3 linked regions of the Drosophila melanogaster genome follow. The protein of the gene in region 3 purifies or fractionates together with the protein of the main gene of each other region. This does not show direct contact. Each region holds a gene or a part of one and is shown on either strand. Other genes may lie near its edges.

What was found. Proteins that work in one complex are often made in the same cells at the same time.
Region 1: the proteins of Ski6 (region 3) and Rrp4 purify together in Drosophila melanogaster (affinity purification with mass spectrometry, with the first as the bait; one large-scale study listed by BioGRID). This does not show direct contact.
Region 2: the proteins of Ski6 (region 3) and Rrp42 purify together in Drosophila melanogaster (affinity purification with mass spectrometry, with the first as the bait; one large-scale study listed by BioGRID). This does not show direct contact.

What each region holds. Positions count from the first base shown.
Region 1 is NT_033778.4:23,554,452-23,557,873, reverse strand, and holds Rrp4 (Rrp4), read left to right. Parts: upstream 1-1,656; 5' UTR 1,657-1,735; coding exon 1,736-2,182; intron 2,183-2,245; coding exon 2,246-2,695; 3' UTR 2,696-2,856; downstream 2,857-3,422. Other genes in the region: ItgaPS5 (integrin alphaPS5 subunit), read right to left, coding at 10-850, 949-1,118.
Region 2 is NT_033778.4:16,012,937-16,016,616, reverse strand, and holds Rrp42 (Rrp42), read right to left. Parts: upstream 1,710-3,680; 5' UTR 1,640-1,709; coding exon 1,583-1,639; intron 1,526-1,582; coding exon 1,329-1,525; intron 1,278-1,328; coding exon 1,112-1,277; intron 1,058-1,111; coding exon 587-1,057; 3' UTR 567-586; downstream 1-566. Other genes in the region: EMC7 (ER membrane protein complex subunit 7), read left to right, coding at 1-92, 158-286, 353-478; Prosbeta1 (proteasome beta1 subunit), read left to right, coding at 1,921-1,965, 2,029-2,503, 2,572-2,726; CG8389 (uncharacterized protein), read right to left, coding at 3,081-3,680.
Region 3 is NT_033779.5:13,220,834-13,224,210, forward strand, and holds Ski6 (Ski6), read right to left. Parts: upstream 1,597-3,377; 5' UTR 1,528-1,596; intron 1,475-1,527; exon of another isoform or gene 1,398-1,474; 5' UTR 1,389-1,397; coding exon 648-1,388; 3' UTR 564-647; downstream 1-563. Other genes in the region: mRF1 (mitochondrial translation release factor 1), read left to right, coding at 1-432; CG16812 (uncharacterized protein), read left to right, coding at 1,896-1,914, 2,039-2,455, 2,512-3,099, 3,158-3,377.

The DNA of each region.
Region 1 (3,422 bases), on a different chromosome or scaffold from region 3:
TTAACTCACCAATCCCTTGTTGATGAACACGTATATGGCACCCACGTCATAGGAATCCCCTAGAGCGTTGAGTGGCGCGGATACGACCACATCCGTTAGTCCATCGCCATTGAGATCTTCCGCCACCACGGAGTAACCGAAGTACTCGCCCAACTGCTCGCCGTGAAACACATGCAGCTTACGGACTATCTCTCCCACAACGTCGAAAATGTATGCCTTGCCGGTATTCAGGACAGAGCTCGGCGCGGTGGTCACGTAGAGCAGACTGGTCCGGTTATTGCTGCTAAAGTATCCGGAGCTCAGGGCGTAACCGACGTATGTGAAGTGATTCTTTACCCAATCCCACGAATCGAGCATCTTGACTGCATAGCTTCCCTGGGCAGCCAAATCTTCTCCGCGGTGCACTAACACCGATCCCTTCCAGCTACGGACTCCCGGGGCGCCGATCAGGAACCCCGAGTTGTCGTCCGTCACATGGGCACTGAGCCCCAGCTCCAGCATGAAATGTTCTTCTGCTTGCGAAGGGATTAGACTGATAGTCCTCACGTCGCTCAGCGGAGGAGTGTCTGCCACTGTGTCCCGAACCCAGTAGCAAATTCCTCTCATTTGGCCATAGTTCTTGTTCTTCGGCACGAAAAACCGAGGTGCGCACACGAGCAGCTTGTCCGTATCCTTGGTGCCGCCATCCATAGAGCCGCCCAGCCACTGGAATTGCTTATTTAGCTTGTCGTTTAGGACGTAATGCGAGCAGGATCCACTGGCCAGGGGGCATCTGTAGACAGCTCCAGTCTCATTAATGCTGCCTTGCGATTCCAAGGTGGACTGAGCACGCGGAGCTCCCACGAAGATGCTGCATTGATCACGAAGTTTTTTGTTAGAAGGAACTTCATGGAATTTCAAGTGCAATCACAGTCTGGGATCGATAGCTTCCCTAGGATAAGATCTCACCTGGTTGGACGGATGACGAGCGAGTATCCAAAGTAGGAGCTTCGCACTTGGATCATTCGGGTTTTTAGGTGCTTTGGAGCATCTATCACTCGATTCGGCAATGGCGAAAAGTTCATTGCATTGCTCTGGTATTTGAGAGCCAAAAAAATTAGGAACAGAAGCCGATGCATTTTCTACTTCAAGTTTTTAGTCTTATTCTAGAAAATATTATTCCGGATGGGAATGTGCCTGCGAGCTCTGAGGCAATCCAACTGAAACAAGATGATGAATGTTTCAGAAGTCTAATGGAGCTTAGCTAACTTAAAGAAGACAGATAACTTATCATTGAAATGCCAGAGCAATTATTTCAAAGCTGTTCTTTAAAATTATAATTTGTATGCTGCTTATCTAAGGACAAACTCAAAAATGCTTTCGACATATATATTATACACATTAACAATAAATGTTATTTCATAAAACTAAGGAAACTAAAAACGTGATTTTAACAGTTTTTTTTAATCCCCTTTACTTTTATTTTATTTCGATTGTATGTATTTTTTGTTAGGCAATAGAATTTGCAAGTCTTCGTTACATTTACTTTCGAATTTCAACAAAATTGGTTTTTAAAATTGCAATTCGCCGCAACCGATAGGCACTGTAGTTGCGGCGAAGAAATGGAACTTGAACCGGAACCAGCAACGAACCCCGAACCCGAACCGGTTCCGCGTGGCGCGTGTTTTGCCAGCTGTTGCTCTTTTTGCCTCGCTCAAAATTAAATTTTTGTTTACCTCGCTTTGGCCAAACTGAGATGTCCACCAACGCGGCGATAGATCTGGCCCTGGACCGGGTGGACTGGCGCGACCTGGCCGCGCAGACGGAGGAACAGCCGAGGGTGTATACGCCGGGGGAAGTGCTGATGCCGGAGGCGGGATTCATGCGCGGCCACGGAACCTTCGTCGAGGACGAGAACATCAAGTCCTCGGTGGCCGGGGTGATCCAGAAGGTCAACAAGCTGATCTCGGTGCGCCCGCTTAAGAGTCGCTATGTGGGCGAGATCGGGGACGTGGTGGTGGCCCGCGTCAGCGAGGTGCAACAGAAGCGCTGGCGAGTGGACACCAATTCCCGGCTCGACTCCATCCTACTGCTCTCCTCGGTGAATCTGCCAGGCGGAGAACTACGACGGAGATCGGCGGAGGACGAGCAGATGATGCGACGATACTTGGACGAGGGCGATCTCATCTCTGCCGAGGTCCAGGTGGGTACTTCCTAACTTGCTGGTACTGGAGTAACTATATAATCTTTCTTCTCTGGCCACCAGAACATCTTTGAGGAGGGCTCCCTTTCGCTGTACACGCGCAGTTTGAAGTATGGAAAACTATCGCAGGGCATCCTGGTCAAGGTGTTCCCCGCTCTCGTCAAGCGCCGCAAGATGCACTTCCACAACCTGCCCTGCGGCGCCTCCGTGATCCTGGGCAACAATGGCTACATCTGGATATCGCCGACCAAGGGCCAGGAGGAGGAAGGCGGCGAGGGAGGATTCGCTCAGAACCTGAACGAGCATGTGCCGCGCGCGGATCGGGAGGTGATCGCCCGGCTGAGGAACTCCATCCTCGCGCTGGCCAAGTGCAAGCTGATGATTTACGACACCAGCATCCAGTACGCCTACGAGGAGTCCCTGCGCTACGAGGCCCACGAGCTGCTCCAGCAGAACGCCATCTACGACATCGGCCAGCAGACGCAGGCTCGTCTGAGGGACGCGGACGAGTAGTATATATGCATATACATATATTTTATACACAAGTAGCTTAAATAGAGGTTAATGTATTTTCTACCGTCAAATGAAAAATTAACATTTCAATGGGTTCGAAATTGGTGGATTTCAAAATTGCATCAGTGGGCTAAAATCTTAAATACACTGAAAACTATCGCAAGCTTTCTGTTTAATAAAAATGTTCATTTGATATTTCCTGAATTTGTATGATAAATGTTGGTTTCCTAATAAAAAGTCAGGTTTTCTAAAATACACAAACTCTTTAAAAAAGAAAACATTTATTGCATATAAGTTAGGTTTTATTGGCGTTTAAAAAATACATACATTTTCATAGCACTTTAGTTTTAGTTAAAAGTTTCGACTTAAAATTACTTTTAGTTAAAAAGCAGCTAAAATATCGATATTTTACCAGGACGCGCACCGAGTGGCAGCACACATTAGCGATCCGGCAACGCCCTGGCGGTTTGTGCAAATGAAAAGTGATTCTGCCTGGATGATAAAGGGACTCGGCATAAATTTTTTATTTTTATGTCATCCCATATTAGTGTGACGTTGTATTTGTGACAAATACTTGATTGTGTAAAATAAAAACAAAAAGTTTCGCTAGCAAAATTCACACAGAAACATCGATATCTGCATAGTGCACATCTCTAAGCGACGCCAAGCGATTGTTTTCCTCTCATTTGTAATCTGTACGCACTTTGCAAGTGAAATTCCGCGTTTC
Region 2 (3,680 bases), on a different chromosome or scaffold from region 3:
TGCAGCCCGCCCAAATTATGCAGGTGGCATATCCCCTGCGCGTGAAGCCACTGATGCCCTTTAAATACTTCCAGACCAGAGAGCAGTGGAAGGTGCATCATTATATTGCCACCAACGGAAGAATCACAAAACTAACTTTTGCTCTTGACCCACACAGATCACCGACTTCTTGTTCAGCCCCATGGTCCTAATGATGGTCTTGCCTCTGCTCCTTATGCTGGTGCTGCCCAAGATGATCAACGATCCCGAGACAAAGAAGGAGATCGACAATCTGCAGTTCCCAAAGGTAAGCCGTGAGGATCATGTATAGCACAGCACTATAGTATTATATGAATCATGCTCTGCTCCACAGATGGGCAACGATATGCCCGAGATCAGCGAAATGCTGACTTCACTGCTAACGGGCAAGCAGCCCGAGCCCAAGGAGAAGAAGCCTGCTCCGGCCGTCAGGCAGGCGAAGAAGCGCAAGGACCAGTAGTAGTTGGCCACCAGATAGCTTTTAGTATTAAGCTTAATCGGAGCGCCGAGCTCCAAGTCAGAGTCAGATCGTTTAAATAGTAAATTTTCATTACAAGACTTTGCCGCTTTATTTAAGAAATCCTACTATTTGCGGTCGCTTGAGTCCGACGCGCTGCTGCTCCAGATTTAGCATTTTAGTGAGCAGCCGGTCCAGATGCTCGCCAATGGCCAGACCCAGCTCCAGACAGTTGCGCATGGTGTCCCGGTGCATGGCTCCGCCGCCGGTCAAGTGTGTACCCGAAAGGAATGCCTGTCCATTCCGCATGGAAACTGACACAACCATGCTCACTGTGCTGCAGACTTCCTCCTCCGCCGAAGGATCCACCAGGACATAATCACCGATCTTGCAAACTGTGACCAACAGCGGAACCGTCTCGATGCCGATGCGGGTGCAGTCATACGGATTGTCCGATATGATGAGGTCTGTGATGCCGGCATCCAACATGGTGGCTGTCACCCGGGGCAGCTTTGTGTTGAACAGAGCCGCTTTGGCGGCCAGCGACACTGCGTCGTGTAGATTGCCGCCACACTCCAGAATCTGCGAGAACAGGGATTAGCATTTTCGGTATAATTAAGCACACTAGAGTCTAACCAGGATGTCTATGTACAGCTTCCAGCACTGCTGACCCGGAATGAGGCACAACGTGCGGTAGTTGAAGGCCAATGGCGATTCGTAGGCGTTCTGCAGGGAGAGAATAAGTTCTTGGGCCAGATCCGAGCCCCCGCGTCCTTCAAACTCCGGCGTGGCATTAGCAGAGCTGAAATATATATGTTATGGCATATTCTTCGAACTTCAGTTGCATCATTACCAATCCACAAAAAATTCCAGTTTACCAAACTCGGGCGTCAGCGGGTTGGGTACATCAATCTCGGTTTTGACGCCCACCAGTATGTCTGTGTTCGCCAGCCGAAGGCGAGCGGATCCACTGGCATTGCTAACCAGTCCAGTTTCCAGGTCCATGGGCCGGTAATCTCGTCGTGAACGTCCATCGCAACGAAAGTCATCCTGGAAACGCATAGTTTAAGGTACAGACTATATTTCTTGCATAACCGTTTAACACACCTCCACGCCGTGTAGAATATATGTTTTTTCAGCTTCGCTCAGTGCAACGTATGCCATTTTAGACTTAATTCAAGAAAACAAATATTCAAAACAAATTCAACATGTGCAATGAACCCACATCGATACTATCGATATACCGCAAAGCAGGGCTGCTGGCACTTCGTTTTTACTTTACTGAACTGTTGTCAGTGCGAAAGGTGTATGTTTTCATTTGAAGCATTTCATTTCACATCGCCATCTGGTAACACTTATCCAAAACAAGCCAGTCATTTCGTGTTCGTGCGGCGTTTCAACAAATATCAATTGTAAATTGAATTGTAACAAATTTAAAGATCAATATGCAGCCCGACTTTGATTTCACCGACACACCGGTCAGCACTGGTGTAAGTATGAAGAGCATCAGCCACATAACTTCGTACTAAGAGCACAATCCTACCTATTTGCAGACCACCATTATGGCAGTGGAGTTCGATGGCGGAGTGGTCATTGGAGCCGATTCGCGCACCAGCTCGGGCGCCTATGTTGCCAATCGGGTCACCGACAAGCTGACCCGCATCACGGACAAAGTGTACTGCTGCCGCAGTGGCTCGGCCGCCGACACCCAGGCCATTGCCGACATTGTGGCCTACTCGCTGAACTATCACGAGAATCAGACCAACAAGGATGCTCTGGTGTTCGAGGCCGCCTCAGAGTTCCGTAATTACTGCTACAGCTACCGCGAGTCCCTGCTTGCCGGCATCATTGTGGCTGGGTGGGATGAGCAGCGCGGCGGCCAGGTGTACAGCATCCCGTTGGGCGGCATGCTGACCCGCGAGTCCTGCACCATCGGCGGATCGGGATCTAGTTTTATCTACGGATTTGTTAGGGAGCACTACCGCCCCAATATGGCGCTGGAGGATTGCGTTACATTCGTCAAGAAGGGTAGGTAATCCCAAAAAAACCAAAACAGTTTCCCTTCAATCGAATCCCATTTAAACCTCCTCCAACAGCTGTCCAGCACGCTATCTACCACGATGGCAGCTCCGGTGGTGTGGTGCGCATTGGCATCATCACCAAGGATGGCATCGAGCGACGCATCTTCTACAACACAGAATCGGGCGCATCGGCTGTTTCCAGCACTCCCAGCTTCATTTCCTCGGAATAAATAGTATACCTACCCAAGTAAGATCGATCAGAGAAAGAGTTGCAAACTCGTCTCATGCTAATAAACCTGGTTTTTGTAATATGCATACTTTAATTTGTATTTTGGCTCTTATGGCAGTACAAAAGTTAGGTCTAGGGGCTAAAATGGTAATAAATAATCGAAAACCTAAACCTAAGATGCATAGTCATACAGATAGTGCTGTTCCTGACACTGGTCCTTCCTCACAACTCAGATAACTACTGCGGCGAGAGTGGAATGTTCCCTACGGGGAAGTCATTTCATCGCCTATCACATGACAGTCAATACCGATATCCTTCGCTTAAACTCTTATCCAGTCAGGTAGTGACCAGAGATTTAGGAGTTGAGTTTGGCCACTTCAGCTGCGTCTATAGACTGCGTCTCCATGGACTTGTTGGTGGCACATCGCTGCCTGCGGTGGCGGTACAATATCTCCGGTGTCCAAACAAGAACCACCACCAGCAGAATGACTCCTTGAGCATAAAGGCAGATTAGGTAGGAGTCGGCGTAGTCTCGCACCCATCCCAGCAGCTGGCCCACTGTGATAACAATAACGCCCTTGGACATCATGCTCAGACCCAGACCGCCGGCCAGTTTTTCCGAGCGGCAATGCGCCGATATGGTGAGATTGTTGTTGATTACAGTGGCTGATTTCATCATGCCTGTCAACACAGACATGGTGATGATCACGGGCAGCGTTTGATTCTCGGCAAGCACACAGCGAGCGACAAAGAGTCCAACAATGCCGATCAGGAACACTACGCGATAGGGTATTCTAAGGTGATCTGTGACGATGGGCAGCAGCAAACGGAACACAATGTCGGCGCCAGCCACAAGGGACATGCAGAAGGCCACCATTTGGCTGTTAAGTTGTGCCGTTTGTCCAAGAAAACCAGGAAAGATCATCGTGAAGTTTATGGTGGCCGTATAGACTAG
Region 3 (3,377 bases):
GGAGCTGGTGGACAGCATGTTAACACCACCGACTCGGCTGTAAGAATTGTTCATCTGCCCACGGGTCTGGCGGTGGAGGCGCAATCGGAACGCTCCCAGCTCAAAAACCGGGAGCTAGCGATGAAGCGTCTACGGTCGCGACTTGTGCAACAGCAGTTGGAGAGCGTTGAGGCTAGCAAAATGGCCACCAAGAAGGCGCAACAGGGTAGTCTCAATCGCAATGAGAAGATCCGTACCTACAATTTCGTCCAGGACCGCATAACGGATCATCGAATTCAAGGCGGTACGCTGCACAACCTCAATGGTTTCCTCAAGGGCGGCGACCAACTGAGTGGACTAATAGAGAAGTTGCAACTGGAACATCGAAGGGAACGACTAAAGGAGCTCTTGGATAGGTGGGAGCCACCAAAAGAAGCTATTGAGAAAAACTAGAGCTACTTTCGTTTGTTACTACATTTATACGCCTGTGTTTTAGAGGATAATTGTGCTTTTGCAACAGAAATTATATTAAAAGAGAGCAAGGGCAGCCATCTGAATACAATGTTAAAGACACTATTTAATTTGTAAATGTTGGTTCCTTTTTATTATAATTGTTGCCCTTCAATTGTAAAAAACGACAAGATTGGAATAGAAAAGATTACTTTATTTCAACCAACTTTCGCAAAGTCAGAGGCACTGCCCATGTGCAGAAGGTGCTCCTTGACTGCTGCCTCCAGAATGTCCCTTATTTCGCGGCAACCCGCCATAGCAGTCTCGATGACGGTTTCCAAGTGATCGATGTGGAACCGCTCACTCATCTCAAGAAAGGCGATTTTCTCGGCGGTAGGCAAGGCAGCCACGGTTAGTTTCGGTCCGCCGGATACCTCCTCGAACTGAGAGATGTCTGTGAGCGGGATGTTCGATTTGCTCAGTGAGGCGGTGCAGGCGACAATGAACTCATTGAGGCAGATTCCCGCATCAATTAGCGCCAGTGTGGCGGCATTAAGAGCCACCGCATAGTTGGCGCCGTCGTCTTGGAGCACCTCCACGTATATGTCTATCTGGGAGCGGGGATATAGTTCTGATTTAATGGCAGCACTTAGCGCCTGCTGCAGGTACAACTTGAACTCCAGAGATTTGCGATCGCCGCGCGGCCTATTTTTGCGCTCCGCCGTGGAGAAGGTTGCCTGACTGTACTGACAGTTGATGACGGACTCTGTCTGATTGCCCTTGGCCTGGTGGGGTCCATAGACGGCAGCCAGAACCTTGGTGTTTCCCTGCTCCATGTAGGCACTTCCATCGGGCTGCTCGAAGACTCCCAGTTTGCACTTGATGCGGCGCAATTCATGAGGACGTCGTCCGTCCAGACGGAGGCCCTGCTCACTGAGCAGATCGTATTTACCAGACATATTTTGAAACTTTAGAAATACAATTATTTTGATTTTAACTAAATATCACACGTGCGGCGGGATTTGTTTACAATTTTAACAACAGTGTGGAAGTACTAAAAATACCGACAGTCCATGAAAAAATCCTTTTTATACTAACTTCTTTTAATATGTACACCGTACGTATGTAAGAGTAAATAAATAATTAAGCATATATTGCCAAAGTGTACTACATTAAATCACGATATATAGAAATTTAATAAGGATTTTAATAAGATTCTTTAAATTTAAATTTGAACAGTGTTTGCTTTGATTACCCCTACTACAACATTTTGGAATTTAACAACACTAACACATGGTCTAATCGATATCCGATAACCGAATACCGATAATCGTTCAGGATTTGTGGTAACTCTAAAATATATAAATAGTTTCGAGTGCAAAAAACGGAATTTATGGGAATAAAATAAATAAATAGTAGCTGAATCGTGTAAGAATCTGTGCTTGCCAGCACCAGAAATACGCAAAATGTCCAAGTCAAGCGCAGGTGGGTTTATAACATCGTGAAAACGAAACAAACTGAACAGACGCTTCCGGGTGCGAAACAAAAATAAAGACCTAAAAAATATCACACACTTTAAAAATAATGAACTCACCACCGAAAATTACAGCACGCTGGGTAAAATTCTTCAATGCGGCCGGCATCCCATCTCCTGCGGCTGCCGGCTATGCCCACGTCTTCGTGGAGAACCGCATCCAGGACGACATGCTGTTGGATCTTAACAAGGAGTATCTCCGGGAAATGGGCATAACCTTGATGGGCGATATAATCGCCATCCTGCGGCACTCAAAGACCGTCTGCGAACAGAATGCCCGGGAACAGGTCCTCACAACGGAGGTGGTTCAATCAGTTGTCCGACCGGTATCGCCAAAACCCAAAGCGCCGGTTGCAACTCCAAAAGCAAAGGTTTATCCGCCTGCGAAACCTGCAAGACGGGTGCTTCCGGAGCACGAGGGCAAGTACAAGGTGACACTGCCCTCGGGAACCACCGAGCGCAGCAAACAGATCTTAGCCAAGCGGGAAAAATGTAAGATTACAGATTTCTAAAGAACAAGATCAAATTTTCAATATATCTTCTTTTAGTATACTCCGATCGTGTGAGCAGCTCCAAAAAGTCGGACATATTTACGCGCCTGCATGCCGAGGACGAGGCGCAGGAGGGCATTGTCTCCAGTTCGGGCGAGAGCAGCGTCCGCGTGCACGTTGCCGGCGCATCAAAAACAGCGGCCACCTCCAGCAATAATTCGGTCTTCGCTCGACTCGGTGGCAAGCAGGGCGCTCTTCCGGAGGAGTTCACTTCGACCAGGGAAATCAAATCGATCCTTAAAAACACACACCGTACAGTTGGTGGTGGAGGAGGAGGAGGAGGGGTCACCAAGAACTCGCCCATTGTGAAAGCGAAGAAGGTGGCCGCTGTAACGCAGCAAAAGGTCATGCTAGTTCACAAAGTGCCTCTTAAAAAAGGCGACGACGACGATGATAGCATGGACGATTTCGAAAGTGACGAAGAGGATTACATGTCCAGCGGAGAAGATTTTGATATGGGAGCCGGCGAAAAGATTGTTAAGTTCGCCTCGACAGCGGAGGTTCGGGAAATCGTTCCCGAATCGGCATACAAAAATAGGCAGGGCAAAAGTTTTGCGAATAATATTAAATCAAGGCTCGGAATGGGTATGTTTGCTTCAGAGCAGAAGTGGCACAGTCAATTAATTTATAACATTTTTTTTAGTATCCAAACTTCATGCCACGAAGAAGACATACAACCTAAAGGCATCGCCTGCAAGGAAACCACAGGCTCGACTCAGTCCTGTTAAGGGCAAGACCATACGCATGCGCAGCGACGAGCTGTTTAGCCGACAGGACACGGTGCCCGTCCACAGGAGGCTTGGAAAAACCGCGACCTCCGCTCCCCTTAGAGCTCCACCAGCTCCGCCACATCGACAGCCGCG